Linked DNA regions of Anolis sagrei. The protein of the gene in region 2 interacts with the protein of the main gene of each other region in a biochemical or structural test. Links are inferred from orthologs where the notes say so. Each region holds a gene or a part of one and is shown on either strand. Other genes may lie near its edges. The genes, in order: FGF19 and FGFR4.

Region 1 (9,041 bases), on a different chromosome or scaffold from region 2:
GGATTCAAACCTCCGACCTGTTGGTCTTCAGCATGAACAATAATCCTATGTTGTTGAAGGCTTTCATGGCCGGAATCACTGGGCTGAGGTGAGTTTTCCTGACTGTATGGTCATGTTCCAGAAGCATTCTCTCCTGACGTTTTGCCTACATCTATGGCAGGCATCCTCAGAAGTTGGGAGGTTTGTTGGAAACCTTTGAAGATGCAAGGCTATTCAATACTAATCAAGCTGGCCAATTGCAACATTCACACTTGCCTCAAACAGACAAGAGTTCTTTCTTCCACCATGGACATTCCACAGATATACAACAGAATCTCACTTATCCAACCTTTGCTCATCCAATGTTCTGTATTATCCAAAACGTTCTGTATTATCCAATGTAGTCTGCCTTCACAGTCTGCCTCCACTGCAATGTTTTGGTTCTAAATTCGTAACTACGGTAATTACTACATAACATTACCATGTACTGAACTGCTTTTTCTGTTGATTTGTTGTAAAACATGATGTTTTGGTGCTTAATTTGTAAAATCATAATGTAATTGGATGTTTAATAGGCTTTTCCTTAAGCCCTCCTTATTATCCAACATTTGCACTTATCCAATGTTCTGTTGGTCCATTTCTGTTGGATAAGCAAGACACTACTGTATAAATCTCACTTGAGTAGTTTCCAACAAACTTCAAAACCTCTGAGGATGCCTGCCATAGATGTGAGCAAAACGTCAGAAGAGAAAGCTTCTAGAACATGGCCATACAGCCCGGAAAATTCACAGCAACCCAACAATCCTTTTTCTAGTTTTTGGAAAAGACAACGTACCTCACTAGAAAAGGGTTGTATGGCCAGGGATGTTGGGGTCCTCGTGGACAACAAGTTAAACATGAGCCAACAATGTAATACAGTGGCAAAAAAAGCAAATGGGATTTTTGCCTGCATCAATAGTATACAGTGCCTAGATCCAGAGAAGTCATGCTACCCCTCCTCTTTTCTGCCTTGGTTAGACCACACCTGGAATATTGTGTTCAATTCTGGGTACCACAATTGAAGAGAGATGTTGACAAGCTGGAATGTGTCCAGAGGAGGGTGACTAAAATGATCAAGGGTCTGGAGAACAAGCCCTATGAGGAGTGGCTTAAAGAGCTGGGCATGTTTAGCCTGAAGAAGAGAAGGCTGAGAGGAGACATGATAGCCATGTATAAATATGTGAGAGGAAGTCATAGGGAGGAGGGAGCAAGCTTGTTTTCTGCTGCCCTGGAGATTAGGATGCAGAACAATGGCTTCAAACTACAAGAGAGGAGATTTAACTGGAACATTAGGAAGAACTTCCAAATTGTGCGAGAGAGCTATTCAGCAGTGGAACTCACTGCCCCGGAGTGTGGTGGAGGCTCCTTCTTTGGAGGCTTTTAAACAGAGGCTGGATGGCCATTTGTCGGGGGTGCTTTGAATGCAATTTTCCTGCTTCTTGGCAGGGGGTTGGACTGAATGGCCCATGAGGTCTCTTCCAACTCTAGGATTCTATGGATGTGATTCTAATTTAAGATGGGGCAAAAATATTAAGAAACGGCAGGGAAGGAGGGGGCATTATACAAACTTCTTCCTTTTGTGAAGTACAAGCAAAAAGGCTGGATGAGGGGATTGTGGTCTGGACTCTTTGCCTAGCCAGAAGGCAGACTGGGTGGCCTGCGGTGGTGTCCTTATCTGGCAGACTCGCCTTCCTCTGGGGTGCTGTGAGGACAGGAGGAGATAAAGGCAAAGACTTGGCCTGGTGATCCTTGAAACAGATCCGGAAGAAAAAGATAAACAAACAATAAAGCATGGCAGTCCACATTCCAGAACAACATTGTGGGCCCCGCCTCTACTCCCAAAACAAAACACTAACAAGGCTGGAGGATAAGAGAAAGGGGGGGGGGGAGATGGGTGGGGTCCAACTTCCAGTGAACGCAAAGGGAGAGCAACTGATCCTACCGTTTGATCCTCAATTGACCACACTGTAAAATGGGGCATGTAGAAAATGAGGGATTTCCTTTCTCCTGATCCCACCAGCAGGGCTGGCGTTTTCAAAATAACCTTCCTGGTTTCTTCTACCTTCCCTTCCTCAATTGATGAGGCTTGTTGTGCCAATTCACACCAAGATCCTAATGACTCTGCTCCTCAATCTGTTTTGAATGTGTGATTTCAAACAGGCACAAAGTGTTGAGACCGCATTGGCGCCTGCCAAGAATATCATGCAGGCGAGCTCCCTGCTTTGGCTCTGGATGGTCCAAGAGCAGGGCTTGTTGTTGTTTGAATCCGCCACGTGGTCTTCCTTCCGGGAAAGGACGGATCCATGGCTGTGGAGGTGGGAAGGGAGGGAGGGAGGGAGGCGCGGCCCTTGGTGCCACGGACGATACTCACCATCCCGCGGAGCCGGCCGTCCTCCTCCATGCAGAGGTAGCGGGAGCTGTGCACGCCTTTGAGGGCCACGGCGCGCAACGAGACCGCGCGGATCTCCAGCAAACCTGCCACGAGGAACAGACGGAGGAGGCGTCACGGGACCACACGCGTGGGAAGGAGGAGAAGCGGGGGGGGGGGGGGGAGTCATCGCTTTTTGGAAACCCTCAAAGATATGGAATCCAGAGACACCTTCCTCTGCAAAGTAGTTTGGTGGCACTTTTCAGAGTGATTTGTTTCAGGGCGGCTTCTTGTGCTTCACTAGGGGTGCCACTCCATGAGGTGGGTTGGGCATGGCCATCCAATGGGAATCCTGTCTCTCATGACTTTTTCCCCCTTTGGGTCCACAAATCCCCTGCTTTGCATCTTATGGAAAACTGGTCGCCTCTAGAACTCTTCTATCTGTTGGCTTCTCATTCCTGGTGGTGGGTGGTCATACTTAAACCAGGGGCCTCATCACACTAGAGAAAAAAATCCACTTAAAATCCGATTTCTGCCTCCTGCAGAATTATGGGGTTTGTAGTTTACTGAGACTGTTAAAGGCTCCTCCCTAAACTACAAACCCCAGAATTCTGCAGGAGGTAGAAACCATATTTTAAGTGGATTCGGTTGTAGGTTTTTCGAGCTGTATGGCCATATTCTAGAAGCATTCTCTCCTGACATTTCGCTTGCACCTATGGAAAGCATCCTCAGAGGTTGTGATCTCACAACCCCTGAGGATGCTTGCCATAGATGCAGGCGAAACGTCAGGAGAGAATGCTTCTAGAACATGGTCATATAGCCCGAAAAACCTAGAACAACTCAGTAATTCCAGCTATGAAAGCCTTTGACAATACATTTAAGTGGATTTTTTCTCTACCGTGATGAGGGCCCCAGGCCTGGGACAACTTGGGCCCTCCATCCAGGTGGTTATTTTGAGCTTAACAGATCTGAATCCCATCCCATCTTGTGAAAACTCAAATTCTTTTGCAATTTGGAAACACCACCAAAGGCCATACCTTCCAAACTGCCTTGGGTTTTGGATCAATAAAGATAAGCTCCTGATTGGTATATATTCCTGACAATGTGTCCACAAAGGGGGGAAAGCATCTAGCTCAGGCATGGGCCAACTTGGGCCCTCCCTCCAGGGGATTTGGATTGCAACTCCCACCATTCCTAACAGCCTCGGGACCTTTCCTTTTCCCCTTCAGCCGCTTAAGCGAGGAAGAGGCCTGAGGCTGTTAGGAATGGTGGGAGTGCAATCCAAAACACCTGAGAGAGGGCCCAAGTTGGCCCAGGCCTGGCTTAGGTGGACTCTCTTTCCCTGCCATTAGGAATGGTGGGAGCTGCAGTCCAAAACACTTGGAGGGAGGGCCCAAGTTAGCCCAGGCCTGGCTTAGGTGGACTCTCTTTCCCTGGCATTTGATCTCATTGCTCCCTGTCCTACTCTGTCTCCAGATCAGCGGAAAACAAGCTTTCCCTCCTCTTCCATGGGACATCCTTCCCAATACTGAGGCATGGGTCCCCCCTCTCTCCGCCTTCTCCCCCTCCTCCAAGGGAAGCGGACTTACTCTGCCGGTTCTGGCTCCCGGCGCCGTCGACTCTCCCGTCGGCGTGGATGCGGAGGAACTGGCTGAAGAGGCCCTGGCGTCCCGCGGTGTAGAGGTGCCTGAGCCGGACGGGCTCCCCCCAGCCGTAGCTGACGTGGGGCCCGGCGTCGGTGAGAGGGAGGGCGCGGGAGGCCAGGGGCGCCAAGCCCAGCAGGGCCCCCAGCAAGGGCAGCGCCCGCCGCCACATCCTCGCCGCCCCGAAGGCACCCTCCGCAGCGCAGAGCAGAGCAGAAGGGACGGAGAGACACAGAGAGAAGAGCTCTGGGCGCGGGATCCCCTCCGGTGAAGAGCTCCCCTTGGCAGGAAGGAAGGCAGGCAGGACGCGTGGAGCCACGGCCACCCCCTTTTATAGCCCTCGGGCGATCGATAAAAGGCGAGCGGCACTTGCCCGAGAGGAGCAGCGCCAGCCTCCCTGCGCCACACACGCCCCGAAGACTGGCTCAGGGCTCTTGCATCATTCCCGGCAAGAGACGCGCTCTGCCCAGGAGACCCCCCCCCCACTCCCTCCTTCCAGGGAGAGAAAAGGACGGGGAGGGGGAGAGGCGCCAAGGGGGCTTTGAAGACGCCGCCCAGGATCGTACGATGGAAGGAGGGTGCCGATTGGAAACTCCGGAGAACAGGCGAAGGCGGGGGGGGGGGGATAGAGAACAGGACTCCTTGGCTGAGGGGCCTCAAAGGCGTCCCCCGCCCCAAGGAGAGGTGCCAAGGAGGGGGGGGGAGGAGGAGGAGGGGAGCCCATCTCTTCCATGTGTTGTCGAAGGCTTTCATGGCCGGAATCACTGGGTCGCTGTGAGTTTCCCTGGCCATGCTCCAGAAGCATGCTCTCCTGACGTTTCCCCAACACCTATGCCAGGCATACTCAGAGGTTGTGAGGTCTATGGGAAACTAGGCAAATGAGGTTTATATATCTCTGGAAAGTCCAGGGTGGGAGAAAGACTAGTCTACTTGAGACATGTGTGAATGTTCCAACTGATAGGCATTGAGTGGCCTTGCAGCTTCAAAGCCTGGCTGCTTTCTGCCTTGGGATATCCTTTGTTGGGAGGTATTAGCTGGGTCTGATTGTTTCTTGTCTGGAATTCCCGTTTTTGAGTGTTGTTCTTTATTTACTGTCCTGATTTTTGAGTTTTTAAATACTGGTTGCCAGATTTTGTACGTTTTCATGGTTTTTCTTCCTTTCTGTTGAAATTGTCCACATGCTTGTGGACAGCAAATAAAGATCCAACACTCAAAAAGCAGGGCAAATCCAAAGAGAGTCCACCTAAGCCAGACAAGACTCAATCGGGGCCAGCTAACACCTCCCAACAAAGGATTCCCCCAGGCAGCAACCAGCCAGGTTTTGAAGCTGCAAGACTATTCAATGCTAATCAAGGTGGCCAATTGCAAAATTCACACTTCCCTCAAGCAGACAAGAGTTCCTTCTCCCACCCTGGATATTCCACAGATTCTGGGAGGTATTGCATCAGAAAGATAGAAAAAAATCCCACTTGCCTACTTATCAACAGACGTCACAACCTCTGAGGACACCTGCCATAGATGTGGACGAAACTTCAGGAGAGAATGCTTCTGGAAGATGGCCATACAACCCGGAAAACTCACAGTAATCCATCTCTTCCGCTTCCAAGCCCTTCCATCCCCACTTAGGGCGCCACTCTCCAGAGTTGAGCAGAAGATGAGGCTCTCCTCTGCCTCCCTCTGAGGCTGAGAGAGTGTGACTGGCCCAGTGGGTTTCATGACTGGCGGGGACGCCAACCCAGTCTTCACCAAATTAAGCCAGGCGGGTGTGTTTCGAACCCATTCAGTTTCACACCACTTGAATGCTGTATGGAATTCTGGGGACTGAGGTTTGGTCTTTGGCAGTGAAGGCCAAAGCCTTGTAAGACTACAACTCCCATGATTCCCTAGCACTGAGCCCTGGCAGTGCTGGGGAATCAGTAAACTGCATTAATTCTGCACCCATAGCCTCACACTCAGGCTGACTCAAGCACCTTGAGGTCCCTTCTTGTACTATCCTTGCTTTTCCCACAATATATCCCTCAAGATCTGCCAATTTCTCCCCAAAGTTCAAGGAATCTCGGTGGTGTTTGGAAAGGCTGGCCCCTGCCCTGCCTTTGCTCGTGTTCAGGGAGACGCCGCGCTTTCCACGCCCTTGGTCTTTCTTTCCACGCCGCGTCTGCGAATCAAGGCCGGGTATTCATTCTGCCCGGCACCGTTTGCAAAGAGAAAAGGAGGGGAGGCGCTGGAAGGAAGTCTTCCGAGGGCTCCATAGAATGGCTTGCTGCTGACCCGGAAAATCGCCCACCTTAGGCAGAAGGAGCGGGGCCTTTGTTCCCCAAGGTGGCCAAGCGTTTTTTTCTTTCTTTCTGATGCAATACCTCCCAGAATCGACAGGAAGAAAGAGATTCCGAATTAGGGGAGGGGGTGATCGACAGGGGAAAGGGGGGGGATTGTTCATGTGATGCTGTGAAGGCAACAGCAGACAACACTGCTTTTCAGGAGCATCTAATTTTGCATCACTCCTCTGTGTGTGTCTGCATTATTTATATTACTATATAGGTCAAACTTGGGCCCTTCAGGTGTTTTGGATTTCAACTCCCACAATTCCAAACAGCCTCAAGCCCTTTCCTGTTTAAGGAGCTCCATTGGCTGCCATTCATCGGGTCCCAATTCAAGGTGTAGGTTATCATCTACAAAGCCCTGAACGATTTGGGACCAGCCTACCTTAGTTGATCATCAGGGGAGGCCCTCCTTTTGCTCCCACCTCCTTTGCAGGCGCGACTTGTGGGAACGAAGGAGAAGGCCTTCTCTGTAGTGGCCCCTCGACTTTGGAACTCGCTATCCAGAGAGATTAGGCAAGCACCCACCCTGGCAGCCTTCAGGAAGAGCCTAAAAATCTGGCCGTTTAGGTGTGCCTTCCAGGAATGAACATCAAATCCCCTTACCTTGATCAATTCAGTACAAAATGCCCTTTGATGCACTTTATCTCATCCTTTGGTTGAAATTAATTCCCTTTGGTTGTCCCATCTGAACCCCACGAGATGCATCACCCTATTTATCTGCCTCACACAGGGTTTTAAAATCCAATCCTCTGTACTTGGCCCTGCCCACTCGGCTTAATATCTTTGCTTATTTTGTTGTACCCTGTGTTTATTTTGTATTACTCTCCTTCTTTCTTTCCATATATTTTATTGCATTTTATTTTATGTATTATTTTATGATTGTATGCTGCATTTGTTTTGCTTTGTTGTAACTATTGGGCTCGGCCTCATGTTAGCTGCCCTGAGTCCCCTTGGAGTGATGGAGACGGGTATAAATTATTATTAATTGTGGGAGTTGAAGTCCAAAACACCCCGAGAGCCAAAGTTTGCCTATGTCTGATATACATTGTGTGCACCTGCCTTCACATCCCTAAGCTGCAAGCAGGCACTTGGAGGGGCAAGGTGCCACTCTTAGGTGAAAGTGACACGCTGAGCCTCTGGGTGGCAGTCCAAGGCCAAGAGGAAAGTATTTAGCCCTGTTGGATTAGATCACTCCCTTCATTCCCCAAGTTCGTTGTCCTGGGCAGGATGCCAAAGCGGAGGGCAAAGGGCACCCGCCGACTTTCTCCCCTCCTGATACACTCCCTCCCCAGAACCATGTCACACCTAGACTTCCTGGGAATTTCATTTTTTGTTCCCTTGTTCTCTGAAAGGGCAGTCCACACTTGGAAACCTTTCCCAAGCAAGCATTATTCACATGGTTTCTATAAAGTCTACCCCCAGTTGGGAGGAAACACATTGAACTTTTGGAAAATAGCATTCATAACCTTTTGGAAAAGGCCTTTTCGAGAAGAGCCAGAAACCCCTTTAGAGTAGAATCTTCTCTTGTGGTATATAATTAGATACAGGGTGAGGCAACATAACTTCCTTTTTTCAAAACTTAATAAAACCCATTGTATGAATCAGAAATTTATTTTTTTATAATGTAGGCACATACCTAAAGTTTTGTTTTACGTAGTTTTGAAGATCAGATTAGGTAGGTGACGTTCCCCATTCTCCATTCTCCATACACTGAGTAAACCGATTTCTGGCGTTTGTCATGACTCTTGCCAGCGTAGCAGACATTATGTTGGCAATTTCTTCCTGTTGGTCTTCAAATCTTGTAGGGTCTTTGGATGGTTCACATAAACACGGAATTTCAAAAAACCCCATAGAAAAAAATCACAAGGGGCCAAATCTGGAGAGTGGGCCGGCCACTCCAAATCTGCTCGAAAAGTAAGCCTCAACGGCAAAAGCACGCTCCTCACTGTTCCAATGCATGGTGGGGACTTAACTGTGTCAGGACAAAACTTTATACTCCCACCCTCAAACGAGACCACTAGCACTCCGCTACGTCTTCAAATGGCACACATTTTAAAAAAGGAAGTTATGCTGCCTCACCCTGTATAATTATTCAAGGCAATGGTTTCAGGTGTTAGACTGAGTAACCTGTTATCTCTGATCTGTTCAGAAAACAGAGATTTTGCCAGTGCATTAAAAAAAAAAAACAGCTGTGCTTCAGAAGTGTCTTTCAGTGCCCAAAAATATACACTCCCCCATAAAACAACTTGTTTTATATCATGCACTCAAGAGACAAAAATGAAATAGACTTTGATTTGAAAAATAACTTATTTGGTTTACTCACAACCTTCGTGAGTTCAGCATACACAGTACAAAACTTATCAATCCAGTTTCAGTTAAGTTTGAGATAATTCTCTGTGCCATCTGGCCAAAACATCACTTAGAACACAGAAAACTGGGCGACTTGGAAGGCGCTGAACAGACTGCGCTCTGGCACCACAAGATGCGGAGCCAACCTTAAGAAATGGGGCTACAAAGTGGAATCCACAACATGCGAGTGTGGAGAAGAGCAAACTATAGACCACCTGCTGCAATGCAACCTGGGCCCTGCCACATGCACAATGGAGGACCTTCTTTCAGCAACACCAGAGGCACTCCAAGTGGCCAGCTACTGGTCAAAGGACATTTAATCAACTACCAAGCCTGCAAACT
Region 2 (9,329 bases):
GTGACACTATACTTTTGTCACACAAGGCACCTGCTTGGCGGAAATGTACTTAGTTCTATTCTGCATTACCAGTCTTGATTGTTTAATTCAAATGTTAATCAACCAAATTGACAGCTAAGGACAAAGTCAAGAAACAGATCCAAAGAAAAACTAGCTGCTAAATGAGACTGAAGTGCCCCTGACAGAGAAAAATTAGGCCTCATCAACCTCTTGCTCACAATCTTCCTGGCAGAGACATCATAAACAATTTGGTGTTTGGAGGTGATCTGCATTAAATACTGCAGATTTTTATTGCATTTTCCTTGAAATCAGGAATCCTGGATGAACTATTACAAAACTTCTGCAATTCTGCCAGCAGATCCTAAATTACTGTCTGCATGCGGTATTCCTTTTGCCCACACAAGTACTGCCTTAGAGGGTGTACTTTCTCCTCAAAGACCATCATCATCAGATTGCTTATGTTCTGTTCAACCAAAAGACTGAGGAGGAAAAAACATGTAGTATAACCATTAAGAGCTGTATGCACTACATCATTACATGGAGAAATGAGCATGCAATATCACTGTGTTAGTATAGACTGGAAATCTTGTGGCCTCCAGGAATTGCTGGATTGCAGCCTCCTGCATCCCTCATTGCTGGTGAGGGCAGTGGTTCCCAACCTGTGGGTCCCCAGATATTTTGGCTTTCAACTCCCAGAAATCCTAACAGCTGGTAAACTGGCTGGGGTTTCTGGGAGTTGTAGGCCAAAACACCTGGGACCCACAGGTTGAGAACCACTGGGTTGGGGCTTTCAGGACTTGCAATCCAGGAATGTTTGGAGGGACACATGATTTCCCCCTCCCCTTCATTAGCAGGTTAGGAGAGAATTGGTTTAGAAGACAGCAAATCATGATTGTAAGGATGCCGCTGTTCAGATGTTGCTGAAGTCCCATCATCCTTTACTATAGGCTATACTAATTAGGATGGATGAGAACTGTACTCTAACAACACTGGAAAGTCCAATTTTGCTTAGCTCTCTCCAATGGGAATAATATGGCTCTGTACTATTGTCATAAGAAATGCAGTATGTCTTATCAAACCCCAACAAAGATGAAAAGGGTGCCCCACAAATTGTGAGAATTCATAGCCCCTTTGTTTCAAGCCAAAACCATTGCTAATTTGGCTTTACTGCAACTTCCTGTCCTCCAGATGTGTTGGATTACAATGGGACGGTCCGTATTGTAATCCAACCATCTGGTGGACACCAGGCTATGGAAAACTGGTCATCTTCTTTCTCCCAACAACAGAGACATCCCCACACTCTCACCCGGTTCTGTGGTTCCTCCCATGGGAGCAGCTGCTGGCCAAGCACATGTGGTTGCCACCACTGCCAGAAACTTCAGAAGGCCACACAGTATGGTTCTCATCCTGTCGTTTCTTCTTGACTCCAGTAGAAATGTAAAGCCCTGGATCAAAGAGAGGAGAAAGTCATACTCAGCCCTCTGGATTTTTTCCACTCAACACACAATGAACCACATATCCTAAGTTCATACCCATCTAGAACTGCCAATAATAATGGCTTGCATGGATGCAGGAATAGCAAAGGAGAAACATGTTTATATAGACATTGACTCCTGTAGCCAGCCATGATTGGCTGCTAGACATTCTCTTTGGAAGGAAAGGGCCGCCAGCAGGGATTTCAAATAAGGGACCGATTTGCTAACCATTCCCACAAGAAAATAAGTTCAAAGAAATGCTAATTTATTTCTTGGGGAGCACATGGTTTGCCATCCTTGCAATTTTACCACTCTTCCTTTGAGAACTGGCTACACTTCATTCAAAGTTCTAGACCAATAGTTCTCAAACTATGGTCCTCCAGATGTTTGGAAAGAACTGCCTGCATTGGCCTCACCAACTAGGACTTTCAGGAGTTCAACTTCAAAACATGCAGAGCAGCACTGCTTCTTAAACTGTGGGTTCCAGCCACAAATGGGGTTCCCTTAGCTCAGTTGGCAACAGAAAAGGTTTCAGACATTTACATGAATCTGTTAGCAACCATGAGCAGCGTTTACAGTGGGCTCTGCAGAAAATGCTTCAGCTGTACTTCATAAAAAGGAAAACCAGCCTGTTTAGCAAGTCTTGCCAATACTGATGTGTTGTCAGGAAATGTTTGATTTTTACATCTATTTTTTACACATATATACTTGGGGTTATGTAAAGGATCTAGACAAGGCATGGACAAACTTTGGCCCTCCAGGTGTTTTGGACTTCAACGCCCACAATTCCTGGCCTCAGGCTCTTTCCTTTTTCCCCTCAGCTGCATAAGCAGCTGATGGGGAAAGGAAGGGGCCTGAGGCCAGGAACTGTGTGAGATGAAATCCAAAACACCCGCTTAAATGGCTGAGGGGGAAAAGGAAGAGGCCTGAGGCCAGGAATTGTGGGAGTTGAAGTCCAAAACATCTGCTTAAGTAGCAGAAGGAGGAAAGGAAGGGGTCTAAGGCCAGTGATTGTGGGAGGTCCAAACACCCGCTTAAGCGGCTGAGAGGGAAAAGGAAGGAGCCTGATGCCAGGAATTGTGAGAGTTAAGTCCAAAACACCCGGAGGGCCGAAGTTTGCCAATACCTGATCTAGAGGACTACATTTTGAGGACCAAATGTAAGTGGTGCTCTCTGGACTAGGACCAATTCCCGGGGCATGAGCTGTCAGTTCCTGGCAAATGACCAGGAAACAAAGGAACAATGCCAGCCAATGGCCCCTATTATGGTGATGGGTCCCTGGTCCAATGGAGGGAAGTAATAGCTCGGTCCCCTGTATCAAATAGACTGAGAAGTGCAGCTGGACCAGGGGGCCCTTCGCAATGGGCATCAGGATGTTGGTCCCTGCCTCTCTGCTTCCCAAGAGGGCAGGAAGATTCTGCCACCTTTTCCCCTTTCTGCCCAAATCTCAGAGGGACATCTTTGGTTGTGAGCCTGGGTGGCTGCTCCAGGGCAGCACAAGACAAACAACAAGAGGGGAGAGCCTGGGGAACCTTAGGACCGGTAAACGAGGAGGGAAAACGGGAGGAAGACGGTGGCTTCATGGGAAGATGCTGCGAGCAGGGCAGTCCCTTCAAGGCGGCGCACCGGGGAGAGTCAGGACGAGGAGCTCTCCCATCACAGGGATCATCCTCCCTGGGATCCGGGTCACCTTCCCGGGAGGATTCGGATTTTTTTTCCGTGTCAGGAGCGACTTGAGAAACTGCAAGTCGCTTCTGGTGTGAGAGAATTGTCCGTCTGCAAGGACGTTGCCCAGGGGAAGCCAGGATGTGTTGATGTTTCCCCATCCTTGTGGGAGGCATCTCTCATGTCCCACTACGGGGTGCTGGAGCTGACAGAGGAAGCTCACCCGCGCTCTCCCCGGATTCGAACTTCCGACCTGTCGGTCTTCAGTCCTGCCGGCAGAAGGGTTTAACCCACTGCACCACCGGGGGCTCCTTTCGGATGCCGCTTGGAAGGAAACGGGGGAAAGTCTTGCGCCTGGAGCGAGGCGCGCGTTTCAAGGGCGAAACGAAGTAAGTTCCCAGCCAGGCGGAGCGGAGGAGATGCGAGAGAGTGAGTGAGAGGACCAGGGGAAGGAAGAAAGAGCTCCCCGGTCTCCCAGGTGGTTTAATCTTTAATCCCGCGATCTCAAAGGGGGCGGGGGGGGGGAGCAAAAGACCTCTGGTAACAGATTGACAGACCTTCCCGGTCAAAGTCCGCCCAGGGAAGAGGGCTCTCGGCCCCGCCACGCCCCGGGGAGCCTCCTGGGTCGCCAAAGGTACTCTCCATCCACACCGCCCGAGAAGGCAGTCCCAAACTATAAGCCAAGGGACGAGGCAACCCGAGTGAGTCCAAGGGCCACCAAGCTTTAACCGCCCGCCCCCCTCCCCTCCGCTGCACCAAACCCGGCCCGAAGGCGCCCTCCTCACCTCCTCCTCCGCCTTCGGCTGCTGCTGGTGCTGCGGCTTCGGGGTCCCGCTAACTCCTGGAAGCTGGGGCTGCGGAGAGGCGCTCCATCCTCAGCTGGCCGGCCAAGGGAGCGAGGCGCCTCCCGCGCGGAAAGGGAGATCGATCCGGAGGAAGAGGAGGAGAGGTTTTTTCCCCCACCTCTTTCTTTCCCTGCCCTGGGAGGCGGAGAGAGCCCCGAACGCGCGCCCCGAGGGTCCCGGCTCCCTTCCCTTGCGCCCTTCTGCCGAAGTCGGCAAAGGCGTGGGGACTTTGTAGCCCCAGGGCTCGGGTGACACCCCCCTCCCTCTCTCTCTCCCTCTCTCGCCTTCCTGCCTTCCCCTTCCCCGCGCGCGGACCCCAGCCAACAATGGGCCGCCAAAAGAGCCAGCGAGGGAGGGGGCGGGGCCCGAGGGACTCCCCTCCCCGCCCCGCCCCCAGGGCCCCTCCCTCCCTCCTTCCCTCCCTGCGCGGCAGCCCCTCCCCTCCTCCACCCCCCCCCCCCCTCCAGCGCCTTTTCACACTCACATTAGCTAAATTCTCTCCCCCAAAGCTCCGGCAAAAGGGATTAGGCCGAGTTCATTCCCTGCTGCCCTCGCTGGGCTTCCTCTCCCGCTCGCCCTGGAAACCGGAGAGACCAAACCAGGAGCTCTTCCTGGGGAAAGGCCACAGGGTTTCTCAACCTTCCCAATGCCGCGACCCCTTAATACATACAGTTCTTCATATTGTGCTGACCCACAGCCATAACATTGTTTTTGTTGCTGTAATTTTGCTACTGTTATGAATCGTAATACTAATACCCGATATGGAGGATGTGTTTTAATTCACTGGGCGAAATTTGGCACAAATACCCAATAAACCCAAATTTGAATACTGGTGGGGTTGGGGGAGTTGATTTTGTCATTTGGGAGTTGTTGTTGCTGGGATTTATAGTTCACCCAAAATCAAAGAGCATTCTGAACTCCACCAGTGAAAGAATTGGGCCAAACTTCCCACACAGAACCCCCATAAACAACAGAAAATACTGGAAGGGTTTGGTGGACATTGACCTTGAGTTTTGGAGTTGTAGTTCACCTACATCCAGACAGCACTGTGGATTCAAATAATGATGGACCTGGACCAAACTTGGCACGAATACTCAATATGCCCAAATGTGAACACTGGTTGAGTTTGGGGGAAACAGACCTTGACATTTGGGAGTTGTAGTTGCTGGAATTTATAGTTCACCTACAGTCAAAAAGAATTCTAAACACCACCAACAAAAGAACTGGGCCATACTTCCCACACAGATACTGTGTTTTCTGATGGTCTTTGGTGACCCCTCTGACACCCCCCTTGCAACCCCCGCAGGGGTCCCAACCCCCAGGTTGAGAAATGCTATTTTAAAGAAATGAGATCATTTATTGTTTTATTTCATTTAATACCCCGCCTTTCTTCCCTTCAGGGAATTCAAGGTGGTTTACAACTGCGGTACCATTCAATAACGGTAAAATCTAACAGTAAAAACAATAACACACCCCCGCCATTAAAACACTTAATAATTAGTTAATAAACACATTCAAACATATAAAGTGCCTAGTTCCAGTCATCCAAAATCCTTGTTCATAGTCCATATTCAAACCGTGTCAAAGCCCATAGTCATTTATATGTGCAAAGCCATGTCTTTAACTTTTTTCTAAAAACTAGAAGGGATGAGGCCTGCCTGATGTCACTGGGGAGGGAGTTCCACCACTGAGAAGGCTCTGTCATCCCCACCAATCACACCTGTGAAGAGGGTGGGACCAAGAGCAGAGCCTCCCCAGCCAATCTTAAAGTTCTAGTAGCCTCATACAAGGAGACATTTAGACAGGTAAATTGGACCAGAACCATTTAGGGCTTTATAGGCCAAGACCAGCACTTTAAATTGAGCTCAGTAGCGAATCGGCAGCCAGTGGAGCTGATTAAACAGGACAGTAGTATGCCCCCTGTATGCCGCTCTGGTTAGAAATCTGGCTGCCACCCATTGGACTAATTGAAGCTTTCGGGCCTTCTTCAAAGGCAACCCCACGTAGAACGTGTTGCAGTAGTCTATGCTAAGTGAAAGGATAGGCAAAAGAAAGTGGAAAGAGTGTGGGGTAGAGAGGGTGATTTGTTGCAAAGGGCCTTTTTTGCCTGAAGATGAAAAGGCAGATTGTGCCCCCTTGGAACTCCCTGCTGTGTATGTTCAGATGACTGGTTCCCAACCTTTTTTAATTATTATCAGGTACCACTTGACCAGGGACCACTTTAACCAGGGACCACTCAAACATTAGTACCAAAAGGGTTACAAATCAGTTTTTGGTCAATTTTAAATTTGGTTTACTTATTTGGGGTGCTGATTCAGAAAATTGCATTGGATAGGCCACATCAGCTCTAGTTTCTGATGCAGAACATAGGCCATCCATTAATCGCCATTTGTTCGCCCACAGAAAACCATATTTAATAAGCCTCATCACTATAAGAGCATTTCATGAGACCAGCCACTCTCGTTGCAACGGGGTAGTAATGGTGAGGACCATATTTTAGTTCTCCCGGACCACTGGTGGTCCACAAACCACAGGTTGGGAACCACTGGTTTAGATAAACTTCATTTGGGCTACTATGTGCCTTGAAGTGGTACATCTACTGCAGAATTAATGCAGGCAGACATCGCTGTCACAAAGGACTACCACCCAGGCCCGTAGCCAGGATTTCAATTGGGGGGGGGGCTGAGTTTGTTTCGGGGGGGGGGCTGTGTCTGAGTGAAAGAGGGTCTACCCTAGCAAACCTTTTGTATCGTTACCCCAATACCCCCATGCATATGGGATATATTGAGCATGGTGATCAGATCATGATATGAATAAACATAACAGTTTAAATATTGCACCAGTAAGGCCTTTTTGCGAACCACCATGAGAATTTCGGGGGGGGGGGGGTTGGGGTTGAAGCCCCTCAAGCCCCCCCCCCCCCCCCCCCCCGCTACATGCCTGCTACCACCCCACTCGCCTCATAGGAAATCTACAAAACAGGAGCTTTTTTGTTGAATTCCACGGCCAGAGAAGCAGATGGTGAAAACAGAAGAACAGCATCGTAACTATCAGTGTTCAGGATGACTTCAACATGCCAGTCCCCTTGAAAGCAATTTTCTAATCTGGATTTCAGAACATCATCCCAGCTGTGAGATAGATGTAAGGCATGGATATGTGTCACATGCATTTACACACACATTCCCTCCACTGGGAAATTGGGAAACCAATATGCCTTTGAACATTGCATTCAGCGGAGCCCAGATAACTGCCTTACTTAGCTTAATGAGAAGACTTGTCACAGATGACTTGTCTCAAATGTATGCCAAAAATCATTATGGGAACGTGAAGTTAGAAGCAGCTGCAGGAGTTGGGAGGCAAATAGTTAATCTGTATTCTGACAGCTGCAGATGGACACAGCTAACTGATTCTTTCTGCAAGACCCTCTGTAAACCCAGCTAGAAATTTCAGGCTGCACAAAATTATGGTTGGGATGTTATGATGGTGGGGGAGAAGTACCCAGATGTTGGTTTCATGCAAAGAACAGAGCTTTAAAAATAATGTTTGGGAACAGGAAAAATAGTGTTTCAGAGCATGTACAGAATGCTTCTTAATTACTCCCAGCCATCATAATGATATACCGGCTTTCCCACAACCTGTCACTTTCCAGAGGTGCTTATGAAGTAGATCCACTGGAGATGATAGCAGACAAATCTAATACATTTGTCTGAGGACATGGGTTTGCCAGATTGCAGAAAGGCTGATAGGCACAACTGAGGGTCCATTTACACCAGTGGTTCCCAACCTTATTTTTTGACCAGGGGCCACTCTCCAACATTAGTACCAAAAGGGTTATGAATCAGTTTTTGGTCAACTTTAGATTTGGTTTGATTATCTGGGGTGCTGATTTAGAAAACTGTATTGGATAGACCACATCAGCTCTAATTTCTGATACAGAACAAATGCCATCCAGTAGTCTCCATCTGTTTGCCCACAGAAAACAATATTTGATAATCTGAATCAGCACCACAAATAACCCCAGGAACAGGCCTAAAAACAAAGACATCAGGGCATCCCCTCTTCCAGACACCACATGGAATGGCTCGGCTCAGGGGAAGGAAGGAAGGAAGGAAGGAGGAGGAGAAGCAGAAGTCAGGAGGCTTGTTGTTGCTTTCATGGGTAGTCAGCCTCTCCCCTCCCGATACAGCCGTGTAGTAACAGTGAGTTCCATGGACCACTGATCTACACTGTAGAATTAACATTGTTTTTCTTTACTTTAATTGCTGTAGCTCAATGCTATGGAATCTTGGGATTTGTAATTTGGTCAGGCATCGGCAACTTTTGAGAAAGAAGGCCCTTGTAAAACCTCTATTCCCATAGCACTGAGCCTTGGCAAATAAAGTGGTGTCAAACAGCATTAATTCTACAGCATAGATGCAGCCTCTGGCTGACTATTAGAAGAGAAGGTGTGGTTTTCAGGTTGCATTGACCTCTGTCCCCCTTTCTTAAACTAGTGTTAGGAAATGACCCTCCAATCTGCAGCTCCATGCATAGCAAAGAAAGACCTGCCTGCTTTTCTGCCCTTCACAAATCCATACAGCAGTCAACCAATGTCTCTATTTCAAGAGTCTTTAATTTTAAAATGTAGTCCAGCTCCCCCAATCTGGAAGACACCAGTATGGGGGAGCCTATTTTAAGACAGTCACAAGCATCTTTGTTGTTTTTGCTGCCACAAATTAACACAAGCCATCCCTCTCCGGAAACACTTTGTGTCCTCAAGTTCTACGAAAAGGAAAACGGCCCAGCCCCAGCGTAATAAAAACAGGGAGTTCAAATGCCTTTCGGGGGGGGGGGGGGGAGTGTGAAGATGGCAACCTCTCCACCTCCTTTTGAAAAAGGCGAAGAGGCCTTCCCCGAGGCTCAGTCACACAGGGAAGCATTTGGAGGAGCCAAGTTGTCTGTGCAGGTTATCACCGTGTGAGGAAGGTTATCCACTGGGAGGAATGTTTGCCTCATCACTCTTCCAGCCAAACAGCCAAACAATAAGCTATCCATTTTTAATTTATCTTGCCATGGCTTCAGCTCCACAAGAACAACCTGGATGGACTGACTCAATCTTGGAGAGGAGCACAGCCTGGAAAATTCTTTTAGCATGGTTTGTTTTGCAGTTGTTTCTCCAAAATAAACCCAAACCCTTTTGCAACATTTGGATGGTACCCCAAGGATTGTCTTTCAGGATATTTCAATTGCATAATCCTAAATATCCTAAAGGCTAATCAGTAGTCAGTCTTCGTTTGTACTTGGATGGAGACTTCTAATGTAGCTCAGGCTCTTTAGGCTGCATTTCAGTGGAAGGAAGTGGCAA

The links.
Region 1: the proteins of FGFR4 (region 2) and FGF19 form a complex in vitro, tested with the Homo sapiens proteins (2 studies listed by BioGRID and IntAct). The link is inferred for Anolis sagrei from reciprocal best matches to the Homo sapiens genes FGFR4 and FGF19.

What each region holds. Positions count from the first base shown.
Region 1 is NC_090021.1:266,691,744-266,700,784, forward strand, and holds the start of FGF19 (fibroblast growth factor 19), read right to left. Parts: upstream 4,291-9,041; 5' UTR 4,202-4,290; coding exon 3,976-4,201; intron 2,494-3,975; coding exon 2,390-2,493; intron 1-2,389. UniProt on the Homo sapiens protein: Involved in the suppression of bile acid biosynthesis through down-regulation of CYP7A1 expression, following positive regulation of the JNK and ERK1/2 cascades. Stimulates glucose uptake in adipocytes. Activity requires the presence of KLB and FGFR4.
Region 2 is NC_090022.1:77,265,988-77,275,316, forward strand, and holds the start of FGFR4 (fibroblast growth factor receptor 4), read right to left. Parts: upstream 4,311-9,329; 5' UTR 3,926-4,310; intron 1,446-3,925; 5' UTR 1,407-1,445; coding exon 1,307-1,406; intron 1-1,306. UniProt on the Homo sapiens protein: Tyrosine-protein kinase that acts as a cell-surface receptor for fibroblast growth factors and plays a role in the regulation of cell proliferation, differentiation and migration, and in regulation of lipid metabolism, bile acid biosynthesis, glucose uptake, vitamin D metabolism and phosphate homeostasis.